Cricetulus griseus: one gene and its partner. The protein of the gene in region 1 binds, or shares a complex with, the protein of each later gene. Links are inferred from orthologs where the notes say so. Each region holds a gene or a part of one and is shown on either strand. Other genes may lie near its edges.

Evidence for each region.
Region 2: Rbl2 (region 1) and Tfdp1 share a complex: the UniProt entries of both Homo sapiens proteins name them as parts of the DREAM complex. The link is inferred for Cricetulus griseus from reciprocal best matches to the Homo sapiens genes RBL2 and TFDP1.

Annotation. Positions count from the first base shown.
Region 1 is NC_048596.1:166,771,582-166,775,401, reverse strand, and holds part of Rbl2 (retinoblastoma-like protein 2), read right to left. Parts: intron 3,356-3,820; coding exon 3,191-3,355; intron 2,753-3,190; coding exon 2,641-2,752; intron 1-2,640. UniProt on the Homo sapiens protein: Key regulator of entry into cell division. Directly involved in heterochromatin formation by maintaining overall chromatin structure and, in particular, that of constitutive heterochromatin by stabilizing histone methylation.
Region 2 is NW_023276807.1:67,425,057-67,428,876, forward strand, and holds part of Tfdp1 (transcription factor Dp-1), read right to left. Parts: intron 845-3,820; coding exon 738-844; intron 1-737. UniProt on the Homo sapiens protein: Can stimulate E2F-dependent transcription.

The DNA of each region.
Region 1 (3,820 bases):
CAGCATAACAGTAGCTCTTTCAAATTTAAAAATAAAAGTAGGGAAATCATAACAGACACCAACAAGAGTGAACCCTGGAAGCTGTGTCTTAACTTTCCCTGTGTTACAAGAAGACATAAAGACTGGGACAGAGCTGTGGATCCAACCATGTAGATTCATAAAGAGACAAGTTAGGAAGTACAGAGAAACAGAAGTGAAGGGATCAGACCCTCACTCAGTCCCTGCTTTAGCAGCCATGACAGGCTACAGAAAAAAACACCTAGGCCTCTGACACAAGGAAACTCCAGATCCTCTGGCCTCCAGGAGCCTAGAGCCAAAACTAGACACAAAGAAACTCCAACTGCCCCCCTCCCAAGCCTCCTAGAATCCTGGTTCCTAGGAACTGTTTGGCCACAAACAAAACAAAACAAAAAAAAAACTCCAGGGGAGACCAAAACCTCCCCTGTAGTTTCCAGGATATAGTTCTAAAAACTATTGGTATCTATGTACAACAGGCCACCTGCAAGTAACAAGACAAAGCCATAGAAACCACAGAATGTTCCCTCTCAGCACTGACCAATGAGAATAATTGGTACACAGGTATTTCATGCCAAAATACGACTTTTGAGAAATTCTCCTGATTGTTCCCATATATCACCCAATCAGAAACCAACCCATACCTACTGATGTAACTTTTGTCTTTAAAACCTAGCAGTAGACAGGGAACTTCACTCCCTCTGGAGGCTGCTGCATTGGCTAGCCAGACAGGGTCCCTGTCATGGTTGGATGAACAATAAAACCTTGCTTTTACAGTTCAGTGGGTCTGTCTCCCTGGTGGTCTCTAGGTGTCTTCACAACTTGGGCACAACAAGAAGTAAATGACAAATTATAATTCACAGACTTGGGAAGGAAAAACTACAAAAATGGTACTGAAAAGACTAGTTTATCAGATCTGAAACCAGGTCTGTATGACTGAAAGTAGTTAAACAATTATTGCTGTTCTTTGAGAAATGAGCAAGGGCTGGAGATGCCTCAGCACTTTAGAGCACTGCTTTTGCAGAGGACGTGGAGTTGGTTTTCAGCAGCCACATGGTGGCTCACAACCATCCGTAACCCCACTTACAGAGGATCTAACACCTTCCACCTCTGTAGGCACAAGCACAAACCTGGTGTGTGGACATACATGCAGGTGAAACACTCATAAACTTAAAATAAATCTAAAAACAATTTTAAGTGAGAAAATTTCATAAAGCATTTAATTAGTGAGTTAGTTTGGTTTTCTGTTGTCTGTTATTGTTTTGAGTCAGGGTCTCTTGTAGCTAAAGTAGACTGGCCTTAAAGTTAAGACCCTCCTACCTCAGCCTTCCAAGTGCTGAGTACAGAGGAGTGTCACCACACTCTGTATCATCTGTGTTTATTGATACGGCACTGACTTGGAATAAACTTGACTTTAAAACTGATCCTTTGATAGCTAGTGGTTACCAAGTACATTATAAAACTGGCTTAGTAATGACAATGTTCTGATGGATGCAGAGCTCTCTGGAACTATACAACTGTTCTTTGAAAACAGTTGTGGAGCTGGAGGTGTACTCCATCTATTGCAGGATGTGTGCTTTGCATTTGGGAGGCCCTGTCTTGAATTTCCAGCACCAGGGGAGAGAAATAGAAAGAAAATCAAAGAAGACAGACTCCCATACATAAATATAAACCTTGCACCTAGGCAGTCATCTCAGGAGCCAGCAAAAACTTAAGCCTGTATTTTCTGTACTTCTTGGGCCAGTATGGATATCACATTACCCTAAGTAGCATAGCTCCAGTCACAAAGCTGAACATGGTCCAACCATGAAGCCATCCTGTCTCACTGACTTATCTGTATCTAACCAGATCTCATAGCTCTATCTTTAAGAATAGTCAGGTGTGGTGGTACACACCTATATTCCCATCTATGACAGAGGTTGAGTCAGAAGGACCAGACCAAGGATTGAAAATCAGCCTGGCCAATATAGTGAGACTCCTATCTCTAATAAACATTGCAAAACAAAACCATAAAAAGGAAGATATAGTTGAAAGAATGAAAAATTCACTGAGAATTCTATAGTTAACAATGTAAGTATTATTAACAGTTTGATTTTCCCATTTTTTTTTGTGTGTTTACAGATAAAAATTCACTTACAAATGAAGACCAAATCAAATGTAAAGTGTTCTAAAAAGATACCCGTAAGCATGGCATGGTGACACACTCCTGTAGTCCTTGTAGCAGGGATGTGGAGACAAGAGAATCTAGAATTCAAGGTCAGCCTGGGTTATACAACCAAACCATCTCTCAAAAATGTTTTTATGTTCTTAATATTCCTTAAAAGCATATTTAAGTCAAGAGTGGTGATACACACCTGGAATCCAGCATTTGGAAAGTGGACAGTCAGGAGTACAGGGTCATCATAGCAAGTTACATAGCAAGTTCAAGGCCAACCTAGACTACACAAGACCCTGTCCCAATCTTCTTGCCCAGGAAAAAAAGCATTTTTAAGTGATTAATACATCACTAAAAGACATAGAATAGTCTTTGCTCTGCATGGCCTATTCACTTTACTTACAGGTTTAGATGAAATCTAAGTATCTAGATTGAAGACGCAAACACTCCTCTTCCTATTTTAGACTTACCTCCTCCAAGCCCTCCAGCATCACTGCGGACTTCACTCACCCTTCTCGGGGTTAGGGGAGAGCCAGCAATACAAATTTCATCTGTTCTTTCTAGGTTTTGAGGTGGCATTACCTACAAAGAGTTATTTCCACAAAATCTTAATAGTAGAAAAGCATTTCACTAGAAATACAGTAATAGTCTAAGGCAAAAGGAAACGACTTTTGTCTGATTAGTTATTTCTTAATAAAATTACTAACACTAAAATCTTCAGTCTTAAGAGATTCAAACTTGATACCGGATACTACATGTGAACCAATGTTCCTTACTGATTTGGAGGGTCAGGATAGCAGCCTTAATTTTTACTGTCATGGAAATCTTGAGGGCAGTTACAGGTTCCTCAAAGAACCTGATTCTGTTTCCTCTTTGATACAAGAATAAACCATTAACCACACTGCAAACCCATGCCTGCCAAGGGCAGACCCCAGCTCTAACCACTCTCTGTAGCATGAGGACCATAAACAATATTGATATGCTTCCCTTACAGATAGGTGTTAAGATATTGTCACAAACCTCTTCACATGTAGGAACTCTGTTTTCATTATCTCTAATTCTGTCCCACAGTGGGGACTCTGTTTTCCATGCCAAATGATCTAAAATTTGTTCTTCAATCTGGTTGAGGTGTTTCACCACTTCTCTGCAAAGACCATCTTCTGCTCTAATAAATACTTCTATTACCTGAAAAAAGAAAATGCCCTGGTTAACTGAGTAACAATTACTATGATTTTGCATGCAAAAGTTTTATGAGTATAAAAGCAAAATGAGCCGGGCGGTCGCGGCACATGCCTTTAATCCCAGCATTTGGGAAGAAGAGGCAGGTGGATCTCTGTGAGTTCAAGGCCAGTCTGGTCTACAAGAGCTAGTTCCAGGACAGCTAGTTCTAGGGCTACATAGAGGAAACCGTTCTCAAAAAAAAAAAAAATTAATGAAATGAGGGGCTGGAGAGATGGCTCAGCAGTTAAGAGCACTGTCTGCTCTTCCAGAGGACCTGAGTTCAATTCCCGGCACCCACATGGCAGCTCAAAACTGTCTGTAACTCCAGTTCCAGGGGATCTAACACTCGCACACATATATGCAGGCAGGCAAAACACCAACGCATATAAAATAAAAACAAATAAATCTTTAAAAAAAAAAGCAAATGAA
Region 2 (3,820 bases), on another chromosome or scaffold:
GTAAGACACTGTGAGAGAAAGCAGCATGTGGGCAATGGAGCAGGACAGAGGTGCACGTGTCACAAGGACCCGGTTTCCAGGAGAAGCCAAACAACTAGAGGCTAGGGGAAAAACCTAGAGCCATGAAGAAGGTAGGTCCCTGGATGAAAGACAGGAATCTGTCCACTATGGGTCTGTGCTAAAATACCCCCGAAGGAACCTCCAGCTACAGGTGAGCTCGCTCCACTGGCCTGAGACCGAATCACACTGAGGGGCTCTTCATCTTTGATGTGTTACTCAATGAAGGAAGGGGATGGTGCTGGTCCCTTCCTGTGGCCATAGCCACACAGCCACACCCTTCCTTCATCTCTTCGCAACTAGGAGACACAGTGGCTATAGAAAAAGGCCACAGAACTTGTTGTAACACAGAGGCAACTCTAACTCAAGAGCTCTAGCTACGGAAGCCATGGAGCAGGAAGCTTGTTCAGGCCTTAGTCCTTCTATATCCATTAGGTTACTGCCATGTGTATAGGGCCTCCAAATACTCCTAGACATAGGGCACACTGAAGAAACGGAAGACTGAGCACTATGTCTGTACAACAGAAAGCAGTGCACACTTTCAGGAGTCAGAATGCACCCAAGAGAGGAGAGTCACTCCTGCAAGCAACCTCCACCACTTAGGAACACTGTGGCCACAGCAACACCGCCCACATCTAGCCCATTCCATACACCTGGGATTCATGTGTCTTACCACTTACCACTTGCTGTGTGATATTGACATTGGACTGTCCAAAGGTTTTTGGCAAAAGCTGCTTTCCAAGTGTGTTCACTGTGGATGGGTGGACAGCTACAAGAGACACCACACCTGGAATACAAGGGCACAGGTTAAGAGTCAAGCTGTTCTCTGAGCTGAGGTTAAAAGGGGCAGTTCCAGGAAGATGGTGTTTCTATCAAGAACCCTAGTCTTGACATTGCAGACCAATGGCTCAGTCACAAATGTCCCAAACTTGTCCGTGAGCCCTCCAGTTCCCTCTCCTGGGCACTGGCTAAGGAAGATACTGGGCCCAGGGACTAGCAGGGTTCATTTTACAGCAGGCATCAGACTTACCACAGCACCTCAACATGCTGTTCCATCACTACTAACAGCCCATGCTCTGTCCCGACCCTCGAGTCTTGGGAATAAAATGGCCATTTCTTTGCTTTGATGCGGCAAAATAATGTAGAACACCTTAGGTGTTTCCCAAACACGAAGACTGACACACAGAATCCCCAAGGAAGGCTGGCTTTTCAGCTTCAGAGAGCAATCAGAACATGAACTAGAGCTAACTCTCACTAAAGAAAATGTCTAAATGTCAACTATGAAGACTTTCAAAGGAACCAAATGTTAAGTATAGCTGTATAGATGGTATCAACTGCCACAATTCAGGAAAAGATCCTAAAACATTACATTCACATTTTTGTAACTGTTAAGTACACCCTTCCTATCTTCAGATTTAAGGCAGCAAATTATGAAAGTGTAAGACCTGGTGTTCTCTGACCTGACCAAACAAAGGATTGACAAGTCGAGAGTTCCCCCACCTGACCTTAGCCAAAAGGTCAACAAATGAGTTTTCCCAAGTTTTTTGTTTGATTTTTCATTTTAGAGTATGTCTAGGGATTGAACCCAGAGCCTCACACATGCCACACCAGCACACCATCTAAAGTCCAGTATAAAAATGGTTGTAAGTAAATAGTCCAAAATACTAACAATGTTCTTTACAGAGATAGAAGCAGTCTAAAATTAGGAGGCATAAGAAACCCAAACAGCCAAAGTAACTGCAAGCAGAAAGAGCAGTGCTGGAGGGTTACCAATACCTGATCTCAAATTAGAGCCACAGCAACAAAACAGACCCACAGATCAATGTGTTAGAATGGAAGATCCAGAAATCCAAGGGGCTACAGACACCTGATTTTCAACAAAAATGCCAAAGGCATACACTGGAGAAACAGCAGCCTCTTCTGAGTGGTGCTATGAAAACTAGATTTCTATGTGCAAAAATAAATAAATAAATAAATAAAATAAAACAAAACAAAAAAGAGCTAAATAATCTTGTGCAAAAATGTGTTCCAACGAATCAAAGATCTTAATGCAAGACCTCACACTCTGAAACTGCCAGAGGAAGAGAGGACAAACACTTGAAGCTATAGGAATAGGCAAGGATTCCCTCAAAGGACTCCAACTGTTCGTTCGCACAGGAAATCATTCCAAGAACTGACAAAAGGATGAAAAGGAACAGCCTCTTCAGAGCAAGCAGTCGCCAGTGAAGACAGAGCTTACAAAAAAGGAGAAAAATCTTTGCCAGCTACTCATCTAACGGGATTAACATCACAATTGAAAGAAATGGAAAAATTCAACAACAGAGGAACAAATAAGCCAATCAATAACTAAGCAAATGATCTACATAATTTTCAAAAGTGCAAATAGCCAGTTAATACCAAAATAATGATAAGATGTTCAGCCACTTTAGCCAAGGAAAGTGATAATCAAAATGACACCGAGACTCCATCTGACCTGACAGAAAACAAGTAACAAATGCTGGAGGATATAGGGGAGGGGAACTCTTAGGCACCGCTGGTGAAGATAATACAAGCTGACACAGTCACAAGGGAAATCAGTGCAGAAGTTCTTTGGGTACTCATATGCATATAGTGTGTGGCTATATGCACTCATATATATGTGTATGCGTATGTGTGTGGCTATATGCATCTGAGTGCATATAGCCACACACATACGCATACACATATATATGACTGAACATAAAAAATGTCTGGAAAAAACAAAACTGGGGGCTAGAGAGGTGGCTCAGTGGTCAAGAGAGAGCACATGCTGCTCTTGAATAGGACTGGACTTGGTTGCCAGCACCCACAAAGTGGCTCACAACTGTCTACAACTCCAGGGTATCTAAGGTTTCTTCTGGCCTCTAGGGGCACCAGGCACACAGGTAGTACACATACATACATGCAAGTGAACACCCACACACATGAAATTTAAAAAGTTAATGCTGGCCGGGCGTTGGTGACGCATGCCTTTAATCCCAGCACTCAGTAGGCAGAGGCAGGTGGATCTCTGTGAGTTCAAGGCCAGCCTGGTCTCCAGAACGAGTGCCAGGATAGGCTCCACAGCTACACAGAGAAACCCTGTCTCGGAAAAAAAAAAAAAAGTTAATGCTGGGAATGTATGCCAGGGCCCTGGACACGCCAGGGTAAGTGTTCTACCACTCAGCTCATTTTGTATATTCAGTCACATTAAGAAATATACGTGATATCATGAGACACACTCAAATGGTAGAAAGTTACCAGAGTAACATGGGTCAACATATCATCACCTCTCAGAGAGCAGTTGCCTATTGCTTTAGGAGCAAGAGCAGCTAACAAAGGGGTAGCAGAGATAGCTCAGAGGTTAAGAGGCTGCTCTTCCAAAGTACCTGGGTTCAGTTCCCATCACCCAAATGGTGGCTCACAAGCATCCACAATTGTAGGTCTGATGTCCTTTTCTGGGCATCCCTGGGCATCTGGCATGCACATGGTGCACAGACATATACGCAGGCAAAACACCCGTATACATAATAGAAATTAATTGGAAGGAAAAAAAAAAAAAAAGCAACTAATCCATCTCAGTAGAAATGAGGCCTCATACTGCCTGCCAGAGGGGACCCCTGCCCTACTTCACCCACATCCTCACTTTCTCTCCTCTAATCCAACACAGGTAAACAGCTATGCTCTCTCTGCACGTTTCATTTCTGGTTTTTAATTCTGTGTGATTGAGACACACAGTAATTTTCTGTGTCTGGTTTACTGTCTT